Linked DNA regions of Notamacropus eugenii. The protein of the gene in region 4 interacts with the protein of the main gene of each other region in a pairwise test. Links are inferred from orthologs where the notes say so. Each region holds a gene or a part of one and is shown on either strand. Other genes may lie near its edges.

Region 1 (7,164 bases), on a different chromosome or scaffold from region 4:
ATGACTAAACAAAAGATCTCCCAAAAAGAACCAAAGGGGAAGATCCAAGTTCAGTCCTAGTGGATCTTAAAGCACTCCATAAATGATGTCCTTGGTGTTATTAACAACATGCCTGGTGGCTGGTCCTCGGGTCTTTGTCTCCAGCCTGGAGCTGCCCCACCACCACACCATGCCTGGTGGCTGGTCCTTGGGTTTTTGTCTCCAGCCTGGAGCTCCCCCTGCACCACACTATGCCTGGTGGCTGGTCCCTCAGCACCCCTCCGAACTTGGTGAGGTCATTAACCTGCTGAGCTGGATCCTTAGGCAGCCCTTCCCCCTTTTTAGCCCATTCCCCCCAGTGCTCCAGGCTCTGTTCTCTGTAGCCAAGGGGAGTGAGTCTGATACCTTTTCCTCTGGAGAGGAATCTCCCTCTTCTCCCAGGAAACTGGGGACTTCTTGAGAGCAGGAACCATCTTTTGCCTCCTTTTGTATTCCTACACTTAACACAGTGCCTGCCTGGTATATAGTAGGTGCTTAATAAATGTTGATTGATGGATTAATTGATTCTCCAAGCTAAATACCCCCAGCTCCTCCTGTGCGTGATCTCTGCCCTCCTGGTTCCACTTACCAACTGTCTCCAGTTTGTCAGAATCCTTCCTAAAATCTGCAGCCTAGAGCTGAGTCCCCAACCACAGGCTGAGCTGAGCATGGTTTGTGATGCTTCCCTAGAGCTATGTGAGCTGGAGAACATCCCCTTCACCAACCTCAGTTTCCTCCCCTAAAATAGGGGTCACTATCCGGGTAGGACCTGCCTTACGAGCTGTAGAAGGGTGGCTTCGAGGGATGATGCAGGGCGGCTTTTGCAGGATCCAGGGAGAAGCAGCCTCAGAACAGAGCCCAGATTCTGGACTCCAAACTGAGGCCTCCTGGAAGAGCTAATCCCTGGGAGAGGGATCAGACTTGTCTGCTTGGCCCCAGACAGCAACACTGGAGTGATAGAGCCAAGGAACAGCGATGTCAGGGAAAGCTTCCTAACCTAAACCTGGCTGGCAAAGTAGTGAGCTCCCCACTCCCCAAGGTATTCAAGCAAAGCCTAAGAGTGTTGTAGAGGGGACCCAAACCTGATGTAGCTCATCTGCCTTATGCGTGTGCTTTTGCCGGCTCCGCTGGGCTGCTGTCCGGTTCTTCTGTCTCCGCTTCAGCTGTCTGTCCACTTCTCTGGGATCCTGGGGGCAAGAAGTCCTTGCTCTACCACAGAGCTGGGTTTCTGCCAGAGATGAGCTCACCTACCCTTGCCCCTGACTTGCTCCAGGGCATCCCTTAGGATACCTGCCTCCTCCAAGAAGCCCATCCTGATTGGAATATTGTGGACAGGTTCAGCCTCTGGAAAAGGGATCTGCTGTGCTCTTCCCCTGCACCATTTACCAGCACATCTTAGAGGTTCAATGAATCCAAGCAAAGGTTTTCTATAGCTGCCCATCGTGGGCTACTGGAGGGTGAAGGCAATGAGGTCTGGGGCCAGAGGAGCTGGTCCCTAGCTACTTTCACCCATGTGGCATGGGCAAGGCCCTTCCTCTCCCAACCTCTCTGAATCCCAACCCTTGCTCTCTCATCATTATTTCTAATTAATTCTGTTCAGGCCTTGTTTGAACCTGGTGGCTTGTCAGGTTCAGGGCAACTTAGCTTTTCTTTGTAAGCCCAGCACACAGTAGGCACTTAAGTGCTTACTGACCTACTGACTGATCTGGGGCCTCAGGTTCCCAAACAAAAGATCTTGCATTAAATGAGTTCCCAGCTCCCTCCCAGCTGTAATGATTACTAGTTGTTACGTGTATTAGGCAGGTTAGGGGGAACCAGGTGGGTGCCCTTAACGCCTGTGTTCTCCATGCCCCCCTCTGAGCACTGAAGCTATTTCAGGAGCCTAGTTTAGGGAAGGCTTTTGTAACACTCTGAATTTTGCAAAATACTTTTCATATATTATCTCATTCGAGCCTCACCCACAGCCAAGAGAGGAAAGTACTATTATCACCCTCATTTTACACATGAGGAAACTGAGTCTGGGAAGAGTAAACAGACTTCCCCAGGATCACAGAGCCAGTAAATATTAGTGATGAGATTTTAACCCAAGCCTGTTCCAGCATCAGACTAGGAGAAAAGATAGGAGAGCAGCCCAAAGCCTGAAGTCCTGGGCTCTGAGGCAGCCTCTGCCTCTCCGGGCCTCTTCAGTTCAACATCCTGTAACACCCCATCCACTTAACATTTGACAGATAAACAAACGGTGAGTGCAAAGGGGGTGCAGACTATCTGGAAGAGTTAAAAAGGAAGTCAGTGCTGGTGTGAAAGTACAGGAACCGGGGCTAAGGCAGAGAAAAAAACACATCAATTTTGAAAGAAAAAACAAAGTTCAGGGATGGGGCAGGGGCCTCGATGGGGTGAACATTTGACTTTCTAGATTCATAGAGGTGGGAAGACCTCTTCATTGTACAGAAAGGGAAACTGAGGCACAGGGAAGGACCCTGAACAAAGTCAGTGGCAGAGTCAGGGCTAGAACAGAAGTCTGCCAACTTAGACTCCACCTTGTCTCTCTGCCCCTCAGATGGAGGGAGAACTTTAGGTGTGAGATCTGGGGTCAGGTTTTTATCCCCAAATGGAAACCACCTAAATAAGGCATATCTTGCCTGGTCTTCCTGATTCCCCCTTTCCTGGACCCTGTCTCTTTTGCCCCGCTACTCACGGTCACCAGCAAAAGCTGCCCTTCCTGGGAAGGGGGTGCCCCACTGCACAGGTGCATGTCCTGGTTCCTGATAGGAGGGCCAGGTGAATGAGAGACGCAGGGTGTCCTCTTGCTGCCTGCAGCTTCCAAGTTCCTAGCCCCAGCTGCAGGAAGTAAAGCCTTTAAATCTCTGGTGACCACTCCACCCACAGAGTCCAGTTTCAGTTTCTCTGAAACCCTCGGGCTGCTCAGAATCCCAGGCTCCTGGGGTGCCCACGTGGCTGGACTTTCCTAATATGACCAAACTTTCCGCCTGCTAGGGAGGGCCAGCCAGGGATCAGTGGGTAGAGAGAGGCTCCCTGGGGAAAGATAGAGACAGAGGATCAGCAGGGAGGGGAAGAAGCCCTGAGGAGGAGAACCCAAGAGAGCCCTGCAGCCTGGGGTCTGTGAAGAGAAGAACTAGGGCTGCCATCATGGTCTGGTGGTCAGAGGAAAAGCGAGGGAGGGGCAGGGAAAAGGCTTGGGGACTGGAGAAACCAGTGTGAGTCTGAGCTCTTACTGTTGCTAGCTGTGACCAAAATCAGTGACCTGCCTGCCTCAGGGTCCTCATTTGTAACATAAGAGGGTTGGATAACAGGGTCCCTGAGGTCCCTTCCTGGGGTGAGAGTGTTGAGGGTGCAGCAGAAGAAACTTTGGCTCTGGAGCTGGAGGACATGTGTTCAAATCCTACCTCCTAATACTTACTAGCTGTGTGACTGTCACCTTGTGAGCCTCAGTTTCTTGGGATTTAGAGTGGATGCCCTCTGAAGTCCTGAGTCAGGACGCCTAGGAAAGTCCTGGCTCTGTGTCTGCCAGCGACTCACTGCTATGCCTCTGTTCTCTCCTGTGGGATGAGATCAGCCATCCTTCGGTTGTCTCTCTCCTTGGCTTGCTTTCCCAGAGGGGAGCCCTGCACTAAAGAGCCACTGAGGCAGGCCTTACTGCCTTGGGGCCAGAAGTCCCCCACTCTCCTAGAACTTGAGGACAGCCCCTGCCCCGCCCTGCCCACCACCTAGTGCAGGTCTGAGGTTCAAAGGGAGAGGAAGCTGGGAAATCCTTAGAAATCAGAGAAACAGTTATAGTCATCTCTATTTGCTGGAATAGGCAGCCCAAGCTCTGGGTGGGGCAAGGGGACCTCTGCTGGAGGAGAGGGTATGGAATCAGGGACTGGCCTGGGAAACCCCAGGATTGGAGGCCCCCAGAACAGGCAGGGGCTCTTCAGGGACTCTAGAATTAGAGTGATATTGAGACACCTTGAACACCTTACTGGATTGAGTTGGAGTCAGACAGCTGGGTTCAAATTCTGATATTCCCTGGGTGCCGTACCCCCTGGGGGTTACTTCCTTGTCTACAAAATTAAGGGGATGATCTGTGATGCCCCCACGAGTCTCTGATGCCCCAAACCCCAGAAGGGGACCCCTAGCAGGCTCTTTTCATGGGGAGGACAGACTGAACCCCTTTATAGAAATATATACATCTGAATTTTTGATCTCCCCAGAAACAAGAAAAAATCAGATTCTTACTGAAGACAGCGCCTGCCTCCCAAGGGGCTGATTAAACAGCCTAATTCAGGGCTCACCAGGCTGCGTTTGTGGCCAGAGCATGATGTAACTGCAGGAAATCAGCACTTCGTGTGTGGGTGTGGCCAGTACCGAGGGTCCTCTGGCCTCACTCCCTATTCCCAGCTCCCCCAGGCTGCAGTGTAGGACAGGGAGAGAGTCTAAAGGTTGGCCCTACCCAAGCTCCCAGGGTCTAAGGGTGGGTGGGGTAGGATGGAGGGGCAGGAGCAGGCAAGAGAGGATGCTCCCTGTTCAGTCTATCTCCCTGGGATCACAGCGGGGCCTGGAAGGCTCCCAGGGCTACCCCCAGTCTCTCCCTCCATGCCCAGGGTCATGTTTAATGCATTGGTAGGTAGGAGGGGCCCTCTTGGTGAGGACATAACTCCGGAGGGGCAACCTGGGCACCTGTCTCAGCCTTGGCCCTCAGCGCTTTCTCTGTGGCACTGTGAAGACTGATCAAGCCTGCTCTCAGGTAGCTGACGTTGGGGGTCAGCCTGGCATAATGGGTAGAGCTTGGGTCTTGGAGTCAGAAGGCCTGAGCCACATCCTGCTCCTCAAAGGTACCCCCTGTGTGACCGCTCTGGGCCTGTTTCCCCATCTGTAAAACAGCTTGGGGGCCTTGTGATCATCAAACATAATAATGTCAGGCATCATTATCCAAACAGGGGGATCAGTCAGGGGCTGGTAGGACCAGATCTCCCCACTTAGGCCTCACTGATTTTATATCCCTCCTTTTTTATTTAGCTATAGCTAACATTCATTTATACAGTGCTCATTTGATCCCGGGGAGACCGGTGCTATAATGATCCCCCTTTTACAGTGAAGGAAAGCGAGGCACGTAGCAGTTACGTGCCCAAAGCTGCACAGCCAGTGTCTGGGGCCAGATTCAAACCCACATCTTCCTGACTCCAGGCCCAGACCTTTCCACACTGATACTGGAATTCATCTAATTAGAGACAGTTGCAAAACAGGTTTAACTGATTGATACTTAATATTCGTTTTATAATTATTTTTTAAAAAAGGTAAAGGTCCTTTAAAGCTATATATCTCCTTTTTTGTAGAGTGGAAAAAAAAAATGACTAGCTGTCTTTTGTTTCCACATCACAGGCCTTTCCCTGGGAGCCCTCGCTCCCTGCTTCCTGGCATCAGGGGGAAACAGGCAAGTTCAACCCCAAGGCACTGAAGCTGTGGGTCCCACTTAGATTCGGGGTGGGGGTAGTAAGGGGCTGGTAAGCCTGCCTTGTCTCCCCCACAGGGTGCCTTGCTGCCAACAGACTAGGCTGACCAGAGGGAGAGACTGTGAGTGAGGGGAGACGTGGTTGCAGACCTTCAGGGCATTCCCTGACTTTGAGTCTTGGAAGGTGGAAGGCAAGGAAGGCTGAGGGGAGGGACTGATGAGCTTCTCAGGAGCTGAGACTTTGCTGGGACCTTTGACACAAGGGGAGTCCCGCCTCACCTTCCACCATCATCCTGAGGAGCTTACAGGCCATGGTACCTTTGGTCTATATTTTTTAAACCTCCTCTGGGTAGATTTGTCCAGGGGAACTTAGCTGATCAGGACCAATGTGAGATAAACCGATTTTATTATGCTCAGGACAGGGGGCTTCCCCAAGATGACCAGAGAGGGAGGAGAAGCAGAGTGATGATCGGGTGGCCCCCTAGGAGTCCCTGAGGTGCTCCCTATACTTACTAAAGGGTCCCTGGGAATCCTTTACATTTTGTCCAGACTCTTGGGACCTGCCTCCAGGATGCTGGGCTGATGCACCCACAAAGGACACTGGGAAGGGCTCATTTTCCTGGGTCCCAAAGGGGACAACCAGGGGCAGTGGACCAGGACTGCAAACAGTCATGCTTAGATTGGAGGTCAGCAAAAACTCCCTCACATGAGAGGCTGCCCAGAGGGGAGTGGGCACAGAGCCTGGCATCACTTAAGTAATGCAGGCTGGGTGGGAAGAGGATAGGGGGCAGTCCTCCTCCTTGGAGGTTCTCAAGTAAGAGCCTAATGACCTTTTGTCAGGGACATCAGGGGGAGGAGTCCTTTAGGGTCCGGGTTCAACTGGAAGATGCCAAGCTGTCTTTGACCCTCCAGAGCTGTGGGTCTGTGGCTCCCTAGTGGATTATTAGCATCCATCCATTCATCCATCTATCCATCCATCCACCCATCAGCCTCTCCCTCCTCAGTTCCCAGCCCCCAGAATCTTGGAGCTCTCCCTCTGTAGTTTAGCTCCAGTCTTTCCTGTCTCTAAGCATTCTTGGCCATACTCATCTGCAGGTTGCTCCCCCACCCCATCCCCATCAGACTGGGCAGCCACTACCATTTGTCTTTGCATTCTGGGTTTAGCACAGGTCCTGGCACACAGTTAGGGCTTAATAAATGCTTATTGACTGACTGGCTTTAGAGTCCTGACTGCATCCTTACCAGTCTTGTCACTGTGAACATTTTATAAAATCTCTGCTAGAAAGGGCCAACAGAGTTGAACTCTGTCCCCAGAGAAGAGTTGGAGAAAGTACCACACTTCTTTTGTTAGAGAGGTGGGGGCCCACAGGTGTGGAAAGGGGCATTACAATTGTCCCATGCCGGGTTGGAGAATTAGCAGCCTCAAAGGCCACATGTGGCCCTCTAGATCCTCAAGTGTGGCCCTTTAACTGAGTCCAAGTTTTACAAAACAAATCTTTTTATTAAGGGGACTTGTTCTGTGATGTCTGCATTCTGTCAAAGGGTATCACTTGAGGACTTAGAGGGCAACATGTGGCCTTGAGGCCCCAAGTTCCCCACCCCTGCCTCAGACCCTGACAGAGAAAGTCCAGCACCCTGAGCTACAAAGCCTTGGGAATAGCAGTGACTCCTAAACCTGCTTCCAGCCCAGCCCCTGC
Region 2 (7,090 bases), on a different chromosome or scaffold from region 4:
ATAGTCACAATTACTCTTGTAATCTTTTACCACAGAAGAACATGACTCAGTCCTGGGGGTAGTGTGCCTAGGAGATGAGATGTATTAAAAAACCAATATGACTAAAACATCTTCTGCCCACAGCATGGAAAAGGGGCCAGAATGCATCTAAAGTTTTTATGGTTGGGTTATATTCTAAGTATTATGTTTGTTCTCCTCTCAGCCTGTCTTGTCATCCTCACCTGCATACCCATTCCAACTTTCAAGTTATTCCTATCACCCATGGGAACTCAAGAAGATGGCCAAAATATTTTGTGTGGATTTGCCTAGTCTCTTTATAGCACCAGTAGGAAACATTGGAGAACCATTCCCTGGTCCATCTGATTCAACTCTATTCAACAAACATTCACTAAGTATCTGTTGTTCTAGGCATGGTGCTTCATGTTTGTCTTTCAGAATGGCTTCATCCATATGCCCACTGATGGATCGGACACTGTCTCATAAGGAAGCAAAAACTTCAGGTGCTACTAGATTCAACCTCAATAAATATTTGGTTTAATTGCATTTTATATTTTTTTGAGAACTTTATTTTCTTTTTAAAAAATTTAATATTTTATTTCCCCCCAATAATACATAAAAACAATTTTAACATCCTTTTTTCAAATTTCCAAATTCTCTCTCTCCCTACCCCTCTCTTCCCCATTGAGAAAGCTAGCAATATGACATGTTATACATCTGTAGTCATACAAAACACGTTTCCAAGTAAGTCATTGTATTTTAGTTTAGATCTGACTCTCTTTACCCCATATTGTGCCCTTATGGATGGGGAAGCTGGGAGCAGTCAATTCTGGATTGGGAAATACAGTGTGTGCCTGGTGGGGTGTGTTTTGAGTGAATGGCCTCCTCTCATTCAGATTCTCTCTTTTCTCCTTTCACATCTCCATGACCCCATCTTTTCTAGAAGTTATAGGATACTCAGGAGGTTGGGGTGCTAATTCGTCCTGATCTCAGGCTTTGGATGTCTGAGCTATAAGGTTTGGGATATAATCCTAGGCCTCACTAGCATCCCTCCCATTCCTTTGCCCACTCACCTGCAGGGCTGCCTCTGGATTTCCAGTTAGCAGGTGCACACAGCCCATGTTGAAGCAGATCTTGGAAGAAGGCTCTTCAATTCTGGAGAATAGTTCCAAGGCCAAATCCCAGTCCTTCCTATCCACAGCCTGGACAGCTTCATGCCAGCCCTTCACCAAATCACTGTATGACATTAAGGATGACCCTACAGTGGAGCTGGCCTAGCTACCCTGGGGGAAATAAAGAGCTCTTTGAGAAGGTATTGACTGAGCACCTTACAGCTGTGAGGTTGTGAGAGGATTGTGCCTGACACTCCTTAGAAGGCAGCCTTACCAGGGTGAGAATCTGGGCTGAGCAGGAAGTAAAGCCCCTTTCTGTTTACCTAGTAAGAGGTGGAGGTATGTGTGTGTGTGTATTCATGTGTGTGTGTGTGTGTGTGTGTGTGTGTGTGTGTGGAAAGGGGAGTGAAAGGGGGCTGGCTGAAAGGATCTTTCAGGTGCTGAGGTCTGGGGAACACCTGTCTTTTAGAGCTAGAGAAAAGATCCTGTTTCCAGTGGCTGTTGTGGGGGTGGGCTATGAATAATGATAAAATGTCTGGCTTTTAGACAGCTCTTCATATTCTGTATAGACTCTCACCTGTAGTTTCTACCTGTGGCAGAGCTGAGTGATGAAACACCTGCTATCAAGCTGCTCTGTGTGATGCGTGTTTTGTGGGAGGGGGAGGAGGGTCTTGGCCCCATCTCTAAAGGACAGAGGAGGACAAGAAGCTTCTGGTTCATTTTTTTTTTTTTAGGAAGACTTGACAGCCACTGCCCCTGTCCTCCTTCACATTTAAGTCCCTGTCATGAGCTGAGAGTATTTTAAGGAAGCAGTTTAGATTTGAAAACAATAATCAGATTGAAGTTTACTAACTAAAATGGAAAAGGATTTCATTTGGTTACTTTATGGTCATGGGATGGGGAGGAATTATGCATGGGGATGAGGCAGATGGGGTGAGGGGAGAGAAGGTTCATGTGTGGAAAAATATCTGTGAGGGGAGTGGGCTATGTGTGTATATGGGTGGGACAGGACAGAAGGGCAGTTATAAAAAAAGACAGAATAGAAATGCATTTGGTGAGGACTTCAAGAGGATGAAGGTCTCTGAAGGGCCTGAAGAGAATATAATATGGGGGAAATTCTCTGAGATATGGGGTGTAGCAGGGAGAGCTATTTTAAGAGGAATCTGGTATATGAAGATTAATCAAGGCACCTGTATGGATTCAGGAGTCTTGATTCTAGATCTAATAGGCTTCAGAGGACTGGGTCCTATCAGATTGTATTTTATTAGGGGCACCCATGCTCTTTATTTCGGGCTCCATTCACTCTGAATTCTCCACCTTCTCCTCAGTAGCAATCTCACACTGGAGATAGCTCTGCTCTGAGGACAGCTTTGCTGATTGCTGTGTCCCTAGCCACAACCACCATTTCATTAGGGGCCCCAGCCATGTTCACTTCACTCTCAGCAAATCTGGATTTCTCTGTCCTTACTAGTCATCTCACCAGTCACCTTTGCCCCAGCCTGGGTTTTTCTCCTCCCACTTCAACTTCCTTTTACACAGTCTTTCTCCACTAGAATATAAGCCTTTGAGGCTGGGTCCCGTTTATATCCTCCAATTTCAGCCGAGTGCTTAGAACAAAGTCCTTCATGTTCTACCTGGTTAGCTAGGTGGTAGAGTGGATATAGCACTGGGCCTGGGCTTCAAATGCAGCCTGAGTGACCCTGAGCAAGTTGCTTAGCTTGTCTGTTTCCCTAACTGTGAAGTGGGAATAACACAGCACCCACCTCTCAGGGTTGTTGTGAAGGCTAAATAAGATATCTGTAAGTGTCTAGCCCTGTTCCTGGCCCACAATAGGTGCTATATACAATGCTATTTCTTCTTTCCTCTCCCGCCCCCACCATCTCTTTCTGAGGTGAACAAGGGCATGTTAGGGAGACACGTAAACGTGCATGTGTGTGTGTGTGTGTGTGTGTGTGTGTGTGTGTGTGTGTATCTGATGTCCCTGGGGTGGTGGAGACCAATTAGGGATGTAGAGCGAGAAGTCTAACATGGAAGAAAATGTTTGTATATGAGGGGGTAGCACTCTAGTCCTTTTTTGGGTTGGGATATTTGGAGGAGACTCGGTGGCTGGAATAGTAATAATGACAGTATATATATGTATGTATATGTATATACGTGTGTAGACACCCACACACACATACATCCTACACAGTCTCTTTGGATCCTTACAACCCTGTGAGGCAGATACTACCGGTATCATCACCCATATTTTCTAAAAGAGGAAACTGGGGTTGAGAGAGGTCATGTAGACCCATGGTCACAGAGCTAGTCAGCATGAGAGGTGGGTTTCTAGCCTGGGATTCCCCAGGAATCTGGGGTGGGAGAGCTCTGAGGGGGAAGGTCTCAGGAGGGGGCCTGGGTATCTGAAATATGAGGATTGTGGGGGAGGGCACAGAGGGGGTCTTTGAGGGGGTTGAGGCCTGGAGGAGGGAGTGGAAGGGAAACAGGGTCTGGGGGGGAATAATAAGGCCATGGTGGGGGTTGTCTGAGGGAAACAGTATAGAACGTTGAGAGACTGAGGAGACAGACTATGGGAAGACTGAATGGAGTGGGGGGACTGCAGGGAACAGAATATGGGGGATTTAGAGTGACAGTGTGGGGAGATGCTGGGGGGACAGGGTGTAGAGGGACTGAGGGGGCTGGGGGCTGGATACAGGAAGACTGGATGGAACACAACGATGTGGGGGGACCTGCAGGGAACAGAGTGTAGGGGATTGGGGGGATTTAGGAGGGCAGAGGACGGAGTCTCTGGGGGCTGAGAGGGCAGGATGCAGGAGGACTAATGGATCAGGATGTGGAAGGACTCTTGGGGGGACAAGATAAGGGGGGATTTAGAGGGATGGAGCACGAGGAGCCGCGATATGAGGGGGCTCCGAGACACGAGTGGGGGGGGCTAAGGGGAACAACATGGGGGGCCTAAGAGGACAGGATGTGGGGGCCCCTGAGGGCGCTGCACCAGGCGGCGGCCAGGTCGGCACTTCCCGGAGGGCCCCACCCCGCCGCTGGGGACACAGGGCCTCCCGGTCCGGAGCGGTCCACGCCCACAGGCTAGGCCCGAGTTCTGGGGAGCCGCTGGGGTGCCGTTGGGGCCTTCCTGCCCTCAGCAGCGCTCGGCCCGGCTTCGGTGCCCCCGGAAAAGCGGTCCGGCGCCATTCCGGTGCACGGCTCCGCCGCCGCCCCGCCGCCGACGTTCCGCTGCCGGGAGGGGAGAGGGCGCCGCCCCGCGGGCTCCGAACGCCGGCTCCACGTGAGTGGCCGCGGGCACACGGGGACACGGGGACGTGGGGACACGGGGCCCGGAGGGCCCTGGCCCGGAGATCGCGGCTCTGGGGCCCGCCAGGGCGCCTGTGTGAAAGAGTTGGGGAGCCTCCGGGCGGTGTGGGTGGGGGCGTCGGAGGGAGGGGTCTAGGGGACCGTGTGATTGTGGGGGGCCACGGGGCTGCTAGGCTGGGGGGATGGGGGGGTCTGTTCAGGGGTCCCCGAGCCCCTCCCCCGCCTTCGGCCCCGGGTCCCAATTCCTAGAGCCCGGTGAGCTCCCGAGGGAGCGTCCAGATTCCGGGCGTGGTCCGGGGCGGTCACCGCCCAGACGCATCCTCGGCTCGACCCCGTGCAGCCCCGGGGCCGCCTCCTCCGAGAAGCCTTCCCCTCCCTCCCGTCCCTCCGCGCCTCCTCCCCCAGCCCCCGCTCCCCAAGTCTTGATTTCCCTTCTGCTTTAATTTCTCAGAACACTTTGTTCGACCCCTCCACACAACCAAATTTTGGCTTGTATTTTTATGTATTTGGGTGTCCTCCTTCCTGCTGGGTTGAAAGCTCCCTGGGAGCAGGGGCTGTGCCATTGCTGTGCCATCCCCGTTCTTTCCAGCCCAGAACAAAGCCTTGCCCCCGTCGGTGCCTGGGTATGAGATTGTTGGAAAGAACGTGCGGGTAACCCCCCGTGGAGAGCGGGACGAGGATCCAGGTCTCAGCGGGGCTGCCATGTCCAGCGTGGCCGTAAGGTGTCAGTGCAGTCTTGGGAGGACAGTGGTGTGGACCCTGGTGGCACCCACCGGACTCAGAGACCAGGAAGAGCCCCTGGGTCTGTATTGGCGCCGTCCCTGAGGGTCTTCCTCTCCCAGACTGATGGGTGAAAGAGGCCATTCTTTGCCCCATCCCTTACCTGCCCTAACCACTGGACGGGTGTTGCCTCAGACAGCCGAGGCCAAGGTCTCCCCTGCAGCCAGCCCGTCTCCAGCTGTCCTGACCTGCCCCGGCCCCGGGCCCCACATGGCTCCTGTGGCGCAGCCCTCCCTGCTTCAGCCTGATTCCCTCTGCCGCAAGGACGGACAAACGTCCGTACCGGGAGCAGCGTCTGTCCCTGAGGGCACAGCCTGTGTAATTCAATTAAATGTCCAAATGTACTGTGGCATTTTTTGACATTTTATTTAACATTTTCTAACAGTGATAGGCAGGATGCAGAAAGAACCTGTGGAGCCTGTATTATTTTAGAATTTCTAGTTATTTTATGTAGTTACAGATTCAGCGTTAGACAGGACCCCAGAGGCCATCCAGTCCAACTCCCCTCCCCCCCTTTTTTTCAGATCAGTAAATTGAGGTTTAGGGACTTGCAGAGTAGTAAGTGATAACCAATATTTGAACCAGATTTTTTGACTCTTTCCATTATATTTGGGCTGGCCAGAAATTTGTGTTAGTCCCACACGTAAAGAAAAGTACTTATTGGCAAATGAATGGTTCTCTTCAGAGTGGCTGAATGGTTTAGTGGAAAGGTGCCTCAATTGGGAGCCAGCAGATTCAGGCTTTAGGCTTGTCTTTTCCTCTGCCTTGCTCTATGACTTTTGGCAAAGTCACTTATGAGGTTGGATTAGATGGTCTCTGTGATCCCATTTAGCTTTACGCGCTCTGATTCTAAAGACCACAGAAAGAATATTTAACATTTAAAAGAGCTATTTGTGTGTGTATACTGGAAAGAACACTGGACGTGGGGGGCAGAAGAATGAGGTTCTTAGTGCAGTCCTTAACTGGCAGGCTTGATCATAAATCATTTCACCTTAGCGCATCTCAGTAAAAAGATTGTACTAGACAATTTCTGAGAGTTCTTCCAATTCTAGCCAAATAATTTTAATCACTACTAAATATAGTGCATGTAAAACAGTTTAAGGAGACGTTTCTTAGTACTAATTTTTCCTGTTGATTAAAAAAAAACTTATTTGATATTTTATTTTTCCCAATTACATGTGAAAACAATTTTAACATTTCCCCCCAAATTTTGAGTTCCAAATTCTCTCCCTCCCTCCCCTCCCCACCCCATTGAGAAGGCAAACAATTTGACATAGGTTATACATATTCATAGTCATGCAAAACACACTTCCTTGTAAGTCATTCTGTGAAAGAAAACACAGACAAAAAACCTTCAAGAAAAATAAAGAAAGAGTATCTTTGATTACATTTAGGCTCTACTAGTTCTTTCTCTGGTGCTGGACAGTACCTTGCATCATAAGTTCTACAGAATTGTTTTGGATCATTGTATTGCTGAGAATAGCTAAGTTATTCATAGTAGATCATCATACAATATTGCTGTACTGTGTACAATGTTCTCCTAGCTCTGCTCATTTGCATCGGTTCATGTAAGTCTCTCCATGTTTTTTCCATGTCTTTTCTATGTTTTTCTGAGAGCATCCTGCTCATCATTTCTTAAAGCACAAATTAAGGGACATCTCCTCAATTTCCAATTCTTTGCCACCAGAAAATAGCAGCTATAAATATTTTTGTATGTATAGGTCCTTTTCCTTTTTTAAAAAATCTCATTTGGGATACAGACTGAGTAGTTATATTGCTAGGTCAAAGGGTATGCGTGGTTTTGTAGGCCTTTGGGCATAGTTCCCAGTTTTTTTACATAATGATTAAATTAATTCACAACTCCACCAATAGTGCATTAGTATCTGTTT
Region 3 (7,162 bases), on a different chromosome or scaffold from region 4:
TCCTAGAGTCAGGTAAGCCTGAGGTCAAATCTAGCCTCAGATACTTATTAGGTGTGTGACCCTGGGCAAGTCACTTAAACTGTTTGCCTCAGTTTCCTCAACTGCAAAATAGGGATCATAACACTGCTAACCTTCCAGGTTGCTGAGGCTCAAATGATTTCATTCATTCCAATAAGGATCAACATTTGTAAAGTGCTCAGCACAGTGCCTGAGTAAGTAATGCTAGCTATCATTACCATTATTATTATTCAAGCTGGATGATCACTTGTTAAAGATAACAACAATTATTAAACAACTGCTATGCTCCTATTACTGAATTAAGCACTAAAGACACAGTTACAAAAATGAGACAGTTCCTGCCATCAAGTGCTGAGAGGACTACAATATGTTCAAAGATAAGTAAATACAGAATATAAGCAAAATAAATACACAATGATGGGGGAAAGGGTCACTGACAAGAGGCAAAATCAGGAAAAGGCCCTTGAGGGAAGCTGGCATTAGAGCTGAGCACTGAAGAGGGCTAGGGGGCTCCAAGAGATGGAAAGGAGGGAGAACATCTCAGACCAGGAGAACAGTCTATGGAAAGGCAGGAGATGGACCATCCTGTACAGGGAACAGCAAGGACACCAGCTTGGCTGGAGCCAGAGCTCAGTAAGGGAGAATCGTGTAATTAGCCTGGAAAGCCTGTAAAACTCTTCACACCCTGGCTTCAGCTTAAGAGATAATCAAAAGATTTAGACCTTAGAGAGCATCTAGTCCAGTCCCTCCATTTCAGAGAAGAAAATGGACCTTGATGGTGAGCCCAAGGTAGTGACTAATTTGGTAGGGCTAGGATATGAATCAGGAGGAAGTGTAGTAGAGTGGTAAGAACAAGAGCTTTGGAGTTAGAGGATCTGGGTTCAAAATTCACCTCTGACGCTAATTGCCAGTGTGACCTTGGGCTACTCATCTAGCCTCCCTTGGCCTCTATTTCCTCCTTTCAAATGAGGGGATCATATTACATGGCTTCTGATGTCCCTTCCAGCTCTGGCTATGTGATCCTATGAGGAGAAATGGGTCTTATCATGGAAATGGCATCTGACTCCTCCATCCCAGCAATAGAACTTCCGGTGGGTGATTCAGAATGAGGAACTGAGCAAAGCCAAGGCACCTCCCCCTAGCTGCAGGGAAATTCTAACAGAGAGAAGAAACTCATTAACAAGAGCCTACTTTTAACAAATTAATCCCAAGCAGTTTTTCAAATAAAGTCTGGTTTATGGCTACCCACCTTCCCATTGAGCCAGTTTTCACCAAGACATATTAATTCTTCCTCTTTCTATGAGGGGCAAGAAAAAGACATAGCATCTCCCTCCCCACTCCATTCACATGAAAACAAACAAGCAAACAAACAAAAAACACTTGCCTACTTGCCCTCTCCTTCCCTCCCTCCTCCCATAGAGCCAAAAAAACAATACATTTAGGTCTTTGGTTTATCCTCATGTTGAAAATGCCTGTGCAATTACTACATCCACTACCAGAGCATCCAGAGAAACTGATAGGGTCATTGGGCCCAATTTCAGGGAAATGCATTAAAAACAGCAGGACCGCCCCCCTTCCCCAACCCCACCCAGGAATTTCCATAACTCCTGCGTTATCAAGTATTCTGTAAAAGGAGGAACCGAGAACAATCCACCTCAAGCCCTTGCAGTCAATGTGTCCATTGCCAAGCAAGTGGCTGCGTATTTTTTTAGGCCAAACCCCCTGATTTATATTCCAATCAGCTGCTCCAGCTGGGTCTCTGAGGGTCGCCGGCAGATGGACGCTAGATGTTGGCATTGCTGGGTCACTGTACAATAACAGCGCTTCACCGGGCTTGGCCCTGCCGACACCACCAAGCAAACCCAATGTTATTTCTCTCTCCATCCACCAAACGGATCCTGCCCTACAGTCTGAACCTGTTTGTTACTGCCACCACCCACACTGGGCTCTCCCACGCTCCACCACCCTTATGAAGGTGAAGCGCCAGGGCCAAGACATCTGCAGTGTGTCACCGCATGAAGATGTTGCCCCACTGCACCGGACAACCAGGTGGATGGAAAGCCATCCAGCCTCGGGCACCAGCTCCGAGGCTATTCGTACTCGGAGTCCGTTCCAGCTCAGTATCTACGCTCCTGCGATCCCATCTCGGAAAGCGCACCCACACACACGCGCGCGCGCTCTCCATCCGTCCGTATGTACAACGCTGCCGGGCTGCAGAGAGCCTGCTTACTACTCTCTCCGGTGAGAGGTCAGCAGGGACCCGAGGGCGGCTTCATTCATTCATTCATTGGACCGACGTGTATGAAACGATCCCCGTACACAGAAGGCCCCGTCCCGGGCTCCGGGGCGGAGAGGCCAAGCTCGCCTAAGCCGGAGTCCCTGCCCTCTCGGAGGGGTCGCAAGAGGCCGGGTGCCCGGGGGTTACCTTTGGCCTGGCAGTCCGCACAGAACTTGTTCTCCTCCTCCAGCAGCAGGCCGGCCAGGACAGCCTGGTAGCGATCCACGTCCCTCACCGACTTGCCCGTCATGGCCACGCGCCCCCGCGACCCCTGCCCCGGGGGGAAGGAGGAGACCCGCTCCCCGCGCCCACCTGCGAGCCCCGAGGCCGGGGGAGGGGGGTCGCAGGTACCCCGGACACTGCCCCCCGCCGGGCCAAGCCCGGCCCAGCCCCGGCCCCGGCCCCCAAGAGCCGGGGGGGAAGGTTTCCCCCGAGCCCCTGTGGCTGGCGCCCCCTGTCGGCGCCGGCGAGGAAGGCCGCGCGCGGCTCCTCACAGCCCGGTGGGCGGTTAGGCCGGTAGCCCCCCGGCGGCTGAGGGGACCGGGAGGGCGGGGAGGCGAATGTTGGCGTCCCCGGGCCGGCTCCCGCTGCTTCCCGCCCCTGCTGGCCTGGCCGCCTCAGCGCCCACCCACCAGCCCAACCCAGGCGCCGCTGCCGCCGCCGCTGCTCTACTCCCCGGTTTCCCTGGCAGCTGCAGCCCCCGCCGCCCACTTCCGGCTCTTCTTCCTCCCTCCTTCCTTCCCACCCCCTCCCCTTCGCCTCACCTCGGGCCCCGCCCTCCGCTCCACATTGCGCCTGCGCGCCTGCCTACCAAGCTCCTGGCCGAGTTCCCCGGCCCCGCCCCTCAGGTCGAAGAGTCCCTCCTACTCTTGGCCCTACCACCGCACGGCGCTGTGCGTCACACAGGGTGGGAGTGGAGAGGTCTCACAGGAACCAATCCCTGGAGGGCAAAGGTGAGATGGGGGCGTGGCTTCATAAAGTCACGCCCCATAGGGGGTACCTTTGAAAAAGAATGAATGGAACTGGGCGGGAAAGGGAGGGGGTCGGGAGAATGGGGAGGCAAGGCAATGATTTGTCTAGTTACAGAGCCGGACTACGAAGCCAGGTCTTTTGACTTGTGCTAGTGCCTTCTTGTACTGCTCTTCTCCAGTTTATCCTGTATGTGTCTGGCTTATGCATTTTGCATGTTATCTCCTGTGAGCTTCTGGAGCCTTTTTTGGCTTTCCTCCGTATCCCCAGCACTTGGCACCAAAAATAAATTATGCCTAATAAATGCTTATTGACTGACTTCAAGTCCAACCACAAATGACAACACTCCATTGTCTACGCTTCTGCCCTCAGTCTAAAGGGAGCGAGGTGGAAGCAGGTAGACTCTAGATGAGTCCAGATGAAAGGAAGAGGGCGTGAGTCCTGCCATTAGAGAGCCTTGGACTGAGGGAAACGCAGCCTGGGTTGTAAATGCCTCGAGAGCAAGGTCTTTGTCATATCTGTTTTTGGAGGGAGACACACGAGTCAGGAAAAGGGGGAAAAAGGAGCATAGTACCAAAATCTTAGAACTGAAAGGGGCCTTGGCGCTCGTAGGTCACCTTTGATGTAGCCCGTGTAATCTTTTAAGCCTCGGTTTCTCAAGCTTATAAAGTCCTTTCTTATCTAAACTCCTATGGCACCAGGTCCTGTTCCTGACAGCTGATCACTCAGGACTAGGAGGGGCAGCACAGTATCATAGACATGAGCCATGGCTTGGAACCAGGGGATCTAAGTTAAAACCCCAGCGCTGCCGCTTCATACCTATGGGGCCTCCATCCAGAGAGTCTCTTAAATGTCTCTGGCTTCAGTTTCCTCATCTGTAGAATAAGGGAATTGTCCTGGAGGACTACCAAAGGTTCTTCCAGCTCTGAAACTTTCAGGTCTGACTGTGACTGCAACTTCTAGCGATGGGAAGCTCACCTTTCAAAATACATCTTAGTCCGTGGTTAGAAGAATCAAGTCAAGTCAACAAATAATTATTAAGTGCTTCCTTTGCGCCAGACACAGTGTTAAGCATTGGGGATACAAATATAAGAACAAAGAGAGACAGTTCCTGTCTTCAAGGATTTTCCATTCCAATGGAGGAAGACACTGTATCAAAAAAGCTAACAATTCGAGAGGAGAGGGAAAAGCATCTGGAACCATGATAGAGAAAGAAATCAGGAAAGCTTTTGTGTATATGGAACCCCACGCCTTTCTTACTATATAACTTCTGCTTATTCTGTAACCCTAGTTCTAAACAGAACAATCAACCAATAAGCAGTTATTAAACTCCTGCTGTGTCAGGCACTGAGCAAAGTCCTGGGGATACAAAGAAAGGCAAAAAACAGTCCTTGCCCTCAAAGCAATCTAACTGGGGAGATAACATGGAAACCAATTATACAAAGCAAGTTCTATGTGGGATAAATGGGAATAATTAAGAGGAGGAAGGCACTTTTTGTTTTGCCCTATGACAATCCTTAAGAAATTCAAAGACAGGATGTTTCCCTTAAGCCATCACTTCTCTGGGCTATTTAGCTGTGTATGTCTACAGTTGCTGAGTGGAACTAGGAAATAGAGCTAGACACTCTGACTCCAGCCAGTTCTTTGCCTGCATAATTCAGGGCTGGGGAACCTGTGGCACTGAGGCCACATACGCTCTTCTAGGGTGTGGCCTTTTGACTGAGTCCAAGTTTTGCAGAACAAATTCTTTTATTAAGCGGATGTGTTCTGTGGAGTTTGGATTCGGTTAAAGGGCCACATTTGAAGGACCTGAGGGGCTACATGTGGCCTTGAGGCTTGAACTCACTGGAACTAGTTGGTCCCCTATGCTTTCTTGAATGGCTGAGTTCAATGTCATTGATAACTTGCTAGATCACCAAATCTTTGAAAATAGAAGGGCTCCCAGAGTTTGCCTTGTCCAACCTGCTCCAGAACAAGAACCCCTTCCCTGGCATTCTCTTTAACTACAGATGGTTTTCTAGCCTCTGCTTGATGACCCTCGAAGGAGGGAGATGTCACATGATCTCCAAAGGCACCCCATTTTCTTTTGGGGCCTCTTTGATTTTCATGGTATTTGTCTTTCCTTCAGGCCTATTCAATCAATATGTACTTATCGCAGAGCCTGCTACGTAGTAGGCTTAGTAAATGTTTATTTAATGACTGATTGATTGCTTAAGGGCCTGCTCTGCACCAGGCATAGGAGACACAAAAACATAATGAAACAATCCCCACCCATAAAGAGCATTCTATGGGAGACTTGGGCTAGTCCAGATGTATACAAAATACCAAACAGATGGCAAGTGGCATTTAGGAGGTACAATGGGTAGATGGAACATCAGGCCTAGAATCAGGAAGACTTGAATTCAAATCCAGCCTCAGACACTTACTAACCATGTGACCTGGGCAAGTTATCTCAGTTTCCTCATCTGTAAAATGCACTGGAGAAGGAAATGGCAAACCACTCCAGTATTTTTTGTCAAGAAAACCCCAAATAGGGTCAAAAAGAGTCAGACAAGTGAACAGCATAGCGTGATTTGAGAGGAAAGGATTAGCAGCTGGCATGGGGGGGGCAAAAAGACCTCATGAAAAAGGTGGTGCTTAAGCTAAGTTTTGGAATTCTAAGAGGTGGAGATAAGGAAGGAGTGAATTCCAGGTATGGGAACAAAGACAATACATGGAATGAGGCATATGAGGAACAGTAACAAGGTCTGTTTAGTTGGACCACTATTAATTTTCAGAACAGAAAATGTACAATAAAGCTAGAGAAGCAGTCTGAGGACAGGCTGTGAAGAGCTACAAATGTCAAATAAAAATGTTAATGCTGAATCCTGGAAGTAATATGGAACCACTGGAATTTATTGAGTAGAGGAATGGTGTAGTAAGACTTATACTCTAGGAATATCATCTTAATTCTAGGATCACTTATTATCCCATGTAATTATGTCCAGTAGATTCACATTTTCAGGAAATCTGATGCTGGGTAAAGTTTTGCACCTCCTTTTTAATCTCCTTCCAAATCTTTCCTCACTGATACTTTTTAAAATTCTTATTTTAATTGCTCCCTGGAATTACGATTGACCTTGTGGCCAAACTGTGTTTTTGTTTGAGTCGTGGCTTATAAATGTTGTAGAATTACAGCTAGATCCCACTTAGTGAACAATGAATCCGTGAAGTGATAGTGTTGTTTTTTTAATTTGCACTATTTAAAATTTTAGTTATGTAAAATATGATCATTGGCTCCAACACAGTGGAAATATGCAGTGCAAATATGAATGATTTGACTACTTCATGGGATTCAGTATTTGAATTAATCAGGACCAAACTTCAGTATTCCTAGATCTGTAATATTTCTTTATCATCTTCTTTTCTTAACCCATTTTTTTTAGCCTTCCTTCCTGAATGAGAATTTGTGTCAAAATCTAATTCTATACGCTTCTGGAGGAAACGGTGTCACCTTGTCTGGTCCTGATCTGGGATATTGTCTAGGATACTGTCATTGCTTCCTCTAGGGTTCTACAAAAAACCTCAGGGGTAGCTCAGATCAACAACCTGAAAATTTTCAGCACAGGATGCTGCCTAATCTAGTTTGCCATCTAATAACTGCCTTCCCCGTCTGAGTTTTGTAGGCTCCCAAGTCCAGTTTGGAGTCTTGAAAACAAAGCTTTGCACTTGTCATAACTCCAGTAGACAGCTTCAGGCCCCAGTCCTAGTCTAGGTGCTGGAGGTCTCTAAGACCCTTGGGTCACAGCAACACAGCTGCCCCTGGTCTAAGCCCCCTTCCACGTACACAGCTGTAGACTCCCCAACCCAGGGCTGCCAGAAGTTTCCACAACCCTAGTCCTGATACAAGACAGCACA
Region 4 (7,925 bases):
TCACAGGAATGTTCCCAGCAGTAGCCCCAGCTCCAAACCTGGCACCAGGATCATATGCTCCATCCACCAGCACTGTTGAACCCGGGGGGTATACGTGACCAAGTGGATAGTAAGCCAGTGGTACAGCAGAGCCAACAGGCCCAACAGCCACAGACTGACCCATGGGAAGAAACAAAGAAGCACCAGGATATGCAGCTGACATAGTGGGAACTGTTGCAGTCCCTGGGTGCACAAAGTTTGGACGATAGAGCTAAAAAGGGGCAGAAGAAAAAACCAGTTTATTTCCTACGGTATTTATTTTGTATTTTAATAGTCAACGTTCAATTCTCCAGTAGAAACTATGTCACTTATGAAGCCAGCAAATGTCTTAATCATAGCCTCCCTCCCCCTACCTCTGAGCCTGCTCTCAAGACCCTCTCCCCAATGAGGGAGAGCCTAAGGAGAGATGTCAGGGTTGTTACAGTCACCATCATCACCTCCCCCCTCCCATACTGCTCTGCTCTCACTACCCCCTACCCAGGGCTTTCATTAGATAACACATCTTCAACCCAATAGCAATGATTTTTTTCATTCATGCCACTGTTTCTGAAATTCTAACCCTCTATAAAGACAGGGCAATGGTGGCACATGATTTCGGCCTGCTCCAACACCTAAAAATCTTGACACTCTTACCTCAGAATAGGCTGGAGGTGCATCCGTGTATGGTGGAACCTGAGGGAGATGCATGGTTTGAGGGTACACTGGATTTCCAGGAGGCTGCACAGGGTATGTGGGCTGCGTTGGATACTGCCCTAGAAGACACAAAAAGGCACGTGTAGTGGAATCATATGTGGCCAGAGAGAGGGCACGCTGCCCAAAGACTCACACAGCTGTGCAGACCCCTAGAAGTGGGGTCTGACAAACAGCTTGGAAAGGGATGATGCAGCGGAACAAACAGGGGAAGGGGGAAGAAGGTACTATCTTGCAGCTACAGATTAGGGATTCTGATAGGCCCAGGCTGGGAATTGTACAATCTACTCTACAGGAATATGCGGGGGGAGTGTGTCCAGTCAGTTTCAAGGAAAACACCTTATGAATAGGAACTCTTCTGATTATTCTCGGCTCTCTCTGAAGCTGGAGGACTTCTAGGTACCGGTAAGGATAGGAGATGGGATGTACTCATATCAATTAGTAAGGGATCCCTGGCTCCAGGGTTGGCCTTACTAATCATCCTAGTCAGGTGTCTAGATTTGGATGGGTTTCTTGCCTGGATCCAAAGGTCTACAATGACCTTCAAGGTCAACTTCAGAAAGAGGAGATTTAGCAGATGCAGAAGCCGCTAGATCATACATAGATTAAGAGATAGAAATGGTCCAAATCCCTGATTTTACAGATGAGGAAACTGAGCCCCAGAAACCTTAAATGACATACCCAAGGTCACACAGCTAATAAATGTCTGAGCCAGGATTTGCATATATATCCTGTAACTCCAGCACAACTTCCAAAGCCCATCATGGCCTACCACCACACCAGCGGTTTTCCCCCACCAGGGAAGAATAAGAGGATCTTGAAATGGAATAGACCTTAGGGACCTAGGATCACCTAAGCCAATTATCTTATCTAGAGCACTGGACAAGGAGCCAAAGCTCGGAGCTCAAATCCTGTCATAACCCTGGACAGATCACTTCACCTTTCTGTGCCTCAAGTTCCTTCATCTGCATAAAATGGGGAAAACAGCAGCACCTACATCGTAGAATCGTGGTGAGGGCCAAATAATAACAAGAAATCACTGCAAACCCTTGAGGGTTTGCAAAGCACTTTACACTTCTCATTTCATTCGATCCTTAAGACAAATCTGGGAGGCAGGTGTTAATTACTTCCGAGTATTAGCCTAAAAGCAATGGAAGAAGCCACATCCCTATCCCTTTTAATTTGTAAAAAGGGTTTGCGTCCAGTTCTGTTAAATGCGAATGTCATTTACAAATAAACATTTTGCTTTAAAAAGCGAAAAATAAGTCAACCGACTTTGCCACTGTTTTACAGAGGAGTAAACTGAGGCCCAGGTAAGCTGACCGGTCCGCACTCCTTACCAGACTATCCAAATGCCACCTATAGTGACAATTATTGGTCGTTATTGGGAGCCTAATGGTTAGAGGGCACTCTGGATCCGGGAAGTGGAGTAACTTGCCCAAGGTCACACGGTGGGCCTCAGACCTGAACCCCAATCTGGGCTCCTTCCCCTCCCCGGCCAGGCCCCGTTAGAAGGGCTTCCCAGACAATAGAACAATCCAGGGAGAGGGGCGGAGGGCGCCCCGACCCCCGGAGGGGGCTCGCGCCGGTGCTGGGCCGATTTAACCGACACATTCACAGCTATCAAGAAAAGGGAGGCCGGCAGCAAAGCGAGCAGCCCCAGACCGCGGCCCCTAGAGCCCAGCCCTCCCCCAAAGGCACCGACGCTCCCCCTCCAGCTCCCCCAGGCCGGAGGAGGGATGGGGGGCGCCCGTCACCAGGCAGCTCTCGGTCCCGCCCCCGTCCGGCTTCTCATTGGCCAAGCCCCATCGGAGCCCTCGCTCCCCATTGGCCTCGCGGCCTGCCCATCCCGCCCCGGCCCCCCTGCAGCTCAGAACTGCGCCACAGGCTTTAAGGGAAAAAGCTCAGGGAGGGGGCGAGCGGCCGTGGCTCGGGGCCTCGACCGGGAGCGAGCGCGACGCGGGCCCGGGGCCTGGCCCCTCAGCGACGAAGGCGGCCGGCCCCCGTCCGGGCCTACGGCTCCCCGAGGCCCCCGGCCGGCCGGCCCCCGGCCCTGCCCCGCCGGCTTCGCCCCCTGTCCGCTCTTGCCTTTGCTGTTCATGGCGGCGGCGGGTCCGGTTCGGCTTGGGGCTGCGGACGGTGTTTTTTTCGTCCTCTTCCTGTTCCAAGTCACTTCCGTGTCATGTGACGCGCCGTCCTCCCAGAGTCACGGGACGTCCTGGTGACCCCCCCCCCAACCCCTCCTGCGCCGCCACCGGAAGCCCCGCCCCCGGGCGGTGTCTCCAGGGTCAGGACTGAGCTGGGGGTGTCGGGCCTGCCTGGGCCCTCCCCTCTCCGACCCACCCCGGCCCCGCCCTGCAGTCCCAACCTCGCGGGCCCGGTCTACCCGCTCCGCCTCGGGCCACTCGGAGGCTGGGGCTGGGCCGGCCAGCGCCCGTCCCTGCCTCTCCCTAACCCTTCCCGGGTGGCTTCCTCCGAGAAGCCTTCCCAGTTTAGCTCCGCCCACGCCGACACGAAGGAAACGGCGCCCTCGATTCAACCCCCACCCCACCCCCATTTCACAAAGGAGGAAACGGACGCCTGGTGACTTTGGTAAAGCCACAAAATGAGTTTCGTTTTAGAAAGGTTTATTCCTGTCTCCTCGTGAAGCCAGCACGCCTGGGCTCCTTTCCCTTCCTCCCCGTCTCGGTGCTGCCGTCCCACATTACCCCCCGTTCATCCGGTGGATACACAGATACACGCACGTGTGTGTACATACACATACACGTCTCTGTGTGTTACGGGCGAACAGCTGCGGGCTATACGCATGCGTGTTCTTTCCAGATGGATACATGTAGCACGCAAACGGCTCCGGACAAGCGGTGCGTGCAGGCCCCTTCCCCGCACGCCGGGAGCTTCACGAGAGCCGGACGTTCTTGTCCTGGTTCGAAGCCTGGCGCACGTCAGAGTTTAGTAAGTGCTGGGGGACCGAGCACCTGGCCGGGCCCCGCTGCGGGGCTAGTCCTTGACCTCCTGCTCCAAGGTCAAGGTCATTCAGAGCCGCACGTCACCGGGGGAAGATCCTCGTCCCTAAAGCAGCGAAGCCGTTCTGGACGTTTGTTTGCGAGAGGACTAAAGCTTGAGGCTTTGACTTAACTCGCCTGTCACGTAAAGGAAGACAGCCTAGGACAGGAGTTGTTGGGGGGCCTAAGCTTCGCGAGACTCCCCCCACTTGAGACAATACACCTTCCTGACTGCGTGGGGTCCCCGGGGAAACTGGGGAGCTCCAAGGACCTGGGTCCACCTGAGCCAAGCTGTATCCTTGGTGACTAGCATCCTTTCTAGGCCACTACTGAGTAGATTTCTTTAGTTTATGGTCATATAGCCTTCAGGCATTTCAGTTCATCCCAGTCCTGAGCCTGAACCACCGGGCCACAGACAGTCTGGCCTCCTTCACTGACCAAGCATGTCCACTCCCACATTCATGTGTTTCCATAGGCGGCCCCTCATTCCTGGAATGCATTTACTTCTCCCCTCTCCTTCAAAGTCTTAGCTGCCTTCAAGGCTCAGTTCAGTGCCATGTTCCAGGTCAATTTTTTTCCTATGTTACCTAACTTTTAATACTCTATCGCTCCTCAAATTATTTTATATGTACATGTCATATCCTTCCCAGAGAATGTAAGTTCCTTGAGGGCAAGATCTACAAAAAAATGTCACTGTATCCCTAGCACCTGGTACAGTACCGAGCATGTATTGTTCATTTATTCAGTCATATCCAAGACGTATGGACAGTAGCATGCCAGCCACTTCTGTCCTCTACCATCTCCCAAAGTCCATCCAAGCTCATGTTTATTGTTTCTATAATGCTATCCATCTCATTCTCTGCTCTCCCCCTCCCCTTTTTACCTTCAATCTTTCCCAACCCCAAGGTCTTTTCCAGTGAGTTCTTCTTATGGCCAAAGCATTTAAGTTTCAGTTTCAGTCCTTCCAATGAGTAGTCTGAATTAATTTAAGTACTGACAGATTTGATCACCTTGCAGTAGCTTAATAAAAGCCTGTTGTCATTTTTTTGAGGAAAAAGTCCAAGCTATAAATAACCATATGAAAAAATATTCCTAATCATTAATAGAGAAATTCAAATTAGAGCATCTTGGAGGTTCTCATACCCAAGGCTGACCAAAAATATATATATTACAAATGCTGGAGGGGCTGTGGGGAAACAGGTACAGTAATGTACTATTGGGAGAGTTCTGAACTGGTCCAGTCATTTTGGAAAGCAACTTAAAACTATACCACAAAACTGATTAATTTATGCATTCCCTCTGATAGTAGGGCCATACTCCCAAAGAAGTGAGAGATACGTATGTATAAAGTTTTTATAGAAGATCTTCTTGTGTTGGCAAAGAGCTAGAAAATTAAGAGAGTGCCCATCAATTGGAGAATGGATGAACAAATTATGGCATATGAATGTCATGAAATACTACTGTACTGTAAAAATTTATAAGGGGGACAATCTCAGAGAAACCTGGGAAGATTCCTATTAACTGATGTGGAATGAAGTAGGCAGAACCAGAGGAACAATGTATACAGTAACAACAACATCACAAAGACAAATAGCTTAGGAAGAGTTAAAAACGCTTCTTACAGTGACAAACCATGGTTCTGGATGACTCATGATGAAACATGCTCCTCACTTCCTGAGAAAGGTAATAGATCCAGGGTACAGATTGAGATATGGGGTTTTTGCACATTTCTGATGTGGGGATTCATTTTGCTTGACTGTGTGTATTTGTTACAAAGGTTTTGTTTTTGCTTCCTTTTCAATGGGAAGAGGAGTCAGTCAGCATTTATTGTCTACTAGGTGCCAGGCACTGTGCTAAGTGCTGGTGAAACACAAAAAGGCCTGATGAGTCCTTGCCCTCAAGGAGCACACAATGTAATGAGGTGGAGAGGGGGAAGAAACAGATTTTTGTTCATTGAAAATATTAAAATAAGCAACATGATTCATACAAATAATCAAACATACCTTCTGTAGACTGAATAAATATAATTTTATAAGAAAAAAATGCCTGTTGTTATTTGGTCAATCAACCAGAGAAATAATATATACGTAAATACATACAGCATATTTGCAAAATTATCATACACTTGTGTTCAATCTTCTTGACCCCATTCTGGAGTTTTCTTGGCAAAGGTACTGGAGTGGATTGCCATTTCCTTTTCCAGCTTATTTTACAAATGAGGAAACTGAGGCAAGCAGGGTTAAGTGACTTGCCCAGGGTCACACAGCTAGTAAGTGTCTGAGGTAGCAGTTGAAGTCAGGTCTTTCTGACTCCAGGCCTGGCATTCTTTCTACAGCACTACCTAGCTGCCATTTACAAAATAAATAGAGGTAATTTTGGAAGTGAGGCTCTACCAGTGGAAGGGAGCAGAGAACAGTCTAATCGAGAAGACAGAATTTCTAAGAGGCAGAACTGAAGGGGGCAAGGTCCTTTCTGGCATGGGCAAAGGCACTGAGATGGGAGATGGAGTGTAATGTGGGGAACAGCAAAGAGGCCAGTTTAATTGACCTATAGAAGGCATGAAGGGGAATAATCTTAATCAGTCCGGGAAGTAGGTTGGAAGCAGGTTGTGAAGGGATTTGAACTCTAAAGAGAGGAGTTTGTATTTGATCCTACAGGGAGCCCTTGCAATTTATGGAAGAAGGGAATGACATAATCAAATCTGTGCTTTGGGAATATCACATTGGCCTCTGTATGAACCTTGAAATTGGAAAGATGAGACTTGAGGCAGAGGGAACAATTAGAAAGTGACCGAAATAGTCCAATGAAAAGGTAAGGTGATGGTGAATGAGGCCAGTGACCGTAGAAGTAGAGAAAGGGGACTAGTAGAGGAAGTGAGAGAGGTTATAGACATGAAAAGGACAAATTTTAGTAACTGAATGACTAAGTGGGCTGAGGAAGAATGAAGAGTTGAGGATGACACTAAGATTGCAAACCTGGGTGACCAGAAGGATGGAGATACTGTTGTTATTTTATCACTTCCCAGCTAGAAACCTTTGCATTTTCTAGCCTCTAAAATCTTTTCTTCTCTAATTCCTGCCCATTGATATTCTCTTTTTCCCCTCTCTGTCTGATCAAATCTTGTTCATTTTTCAAGGTCCAGTTCATTCTACAGCTTCCATGGAGCCTTTCTTCCCTAAACAGCTCAGTCCCTGGTGATCTTCAAAGTTCTGTAGTGAAAGAGGGTAAAAACAAATTGAGGAATAGCTAATAATACTGTCTGGCTGGAATGTAGTTCACTTGAAGCAAAAAGTGTGAAATAAGGCAAGAATAGTAGGTTGGAGCAAGATTATAAATTGCCTTAAATGCCAAGCTAAGGAGTTCGCATTCTATAAGCAATGGGAAATCACTAGAGAGTTCTGTGCAGAGAAATCACATCATTAGACCTGAGTTTTAAGAAGATTATTTTTGTAACTGTGTAGAGGACTGATTAGAAAAATGAAGCCTGCAAACAGGGAAACCAGTTAGGTGGATACTATTAGTGTTCCAGCTAGAAAGGGAAGGATGAGGACCTGAACCAGGGTAGTAGCAAAGAAAGGTAAGGACAGATGTTAGAGTTATTGTGGCAGTAAAATCAACAGGACCTTTATTATCTGAAGTTGGGGGGTGGGGATGGAGTGAGGGATTAGAGTCAAAGATAACTGTGAGGTTTCAAACCTGAATCATTGAGAGGAAAGCAGCACCATAAATAGGAACTGAGAAAATTGGAAGGAGGCAGATTTATGGTGGAAGATGAGATATTCAGTGCTAGATGTTTGGAGTTTGAGAAGCCAGCAGGACAATATAGCAGGTAGCTAGATTTGCAGGATGGGAGCTTGGGGGAGATCTCACTAAGCTTTGGAGAAAAAATTGGAAACTGTCAAAAAACTTTTTATCCATCAGTCAGTAAACATTAGTTAAGTTCCTACTATGTACCTGGCACTATGCTAAGCATTGGAGATATAAAGAAAGGTAAATACAACCCCTTCTCTCAAAGAGCTTATAATCCAATGAAGAAACAATGTAAAAACAAATATGTACAAACAAGCCACATATAGGATAAATTGGAGATAATGAACAGAGGAAAAGCAGTAGAATTAAGGTGGATCAGGAAAAGTTTTCTGCAGAAAGTGGAGTTTTAGCTGAGATTTAAAGGAAGCTAGGGAAACTAGGAAA

Evidence for each region.
Region 1: the proteins of DAZAP2 (region 4) and BATF2 interact in binary tests that used the Homo sapiens proteins (3 or more experiments, as listed by UniProt). The two-hybrid records come from large-scale screens. The link is inferred for Notamacropus eugenii from reciprocal best matches to the Homo sapiens genes DAZAP2 and BATF2.
Region 2: the proteins of DAZAP2 (region 4) and EXD3 interact in binary tests that used the Homo sapiens proteins (3 or more experiments, as listed by UniProt). The two-hybrid records come from large-scale screens. The link is inferred for Notamacropus eugenii from reciprocal best matches to the Homo sapiens genes DAZAP2 and EXD3.
Region 3: the proteins of DAZAP2 (region 4) and SMAP2 interact in binary tests that used the Homo sapiens proteins (3 or more experiments, as listed by UniProt). The two-hybrid records come from large-scale screens. The link is inferred for Notamacropus eugenii from reciprocal best matches to the Homo sapiens genes DAZAP2 and SMAP2.

Annotation. Positions count from the first base shown.
Region 1 is NC_092873.1:17,745,975-17,753,138, forward strand, and holds the start of BATF2 (basic leucine zipper transcriptional factor ATF-like 2), read right to left. Parts: upstream 3,010-7,164; 5' UTR 2,771-3,009; coding exon 2,714-2,770; intron 1,206-2,713; coding exon 1,101-1,205; intron 1-1,100.
Region 2 is NC_092872.1:493,497,383-493,504,472, forward strand, and holds the start of EXD3 (exonuclease mut-7 homolog), read left to right. Parts: upstream 1-4,086; 5' UTR 4,087-4,395; intron 4,396-7,090. Other genes in the region: NOXA1 (NADPH oxidase activator 1), read right to left, coding at 1,071-1,244. UniProt on the Homo sapiens protein: Possesses 3'-5' exoribonuclease activity. Required for 3'-end trimming of AGO1-bound miRNAs.
Region 3 is NC_092876.1:78,638,517-78,645,678, forward strand, and holds the start of SMAP2 (stromal membrane-associated protein 2), read right to left. Parts: upstream 3,007-7,162; 5' UTR 2,547-3,006; coding exon 2,444-2,546; intron 1-2,443.
Region 4 is NC_092874.1:223,615,901-223,623,825, reverse strand, and holds the start of DAZAP2 (DAZ-associated protein 2), read right to left. Parts: upstream 3,016-7,925; 5' UTR 2,831-3,015; coding exon 2,818-2,830; intron 2,460-2,817; exon of another isoform or gene 2,070-2,459; intron 792-2,069; coding exon 673-791; intron 251-672; coding exon 5-250; intron 1-4. UniProt on the Homo sapiens protein: In unstressed cells, promotes SIAH1-mediated polyubiquitination and degradation of the serine/threonine-protein kinase HIPK2, probably by acting as a loading factor that potentiates complex formation between HIPK2 and ubiquitin ligase SIAH1.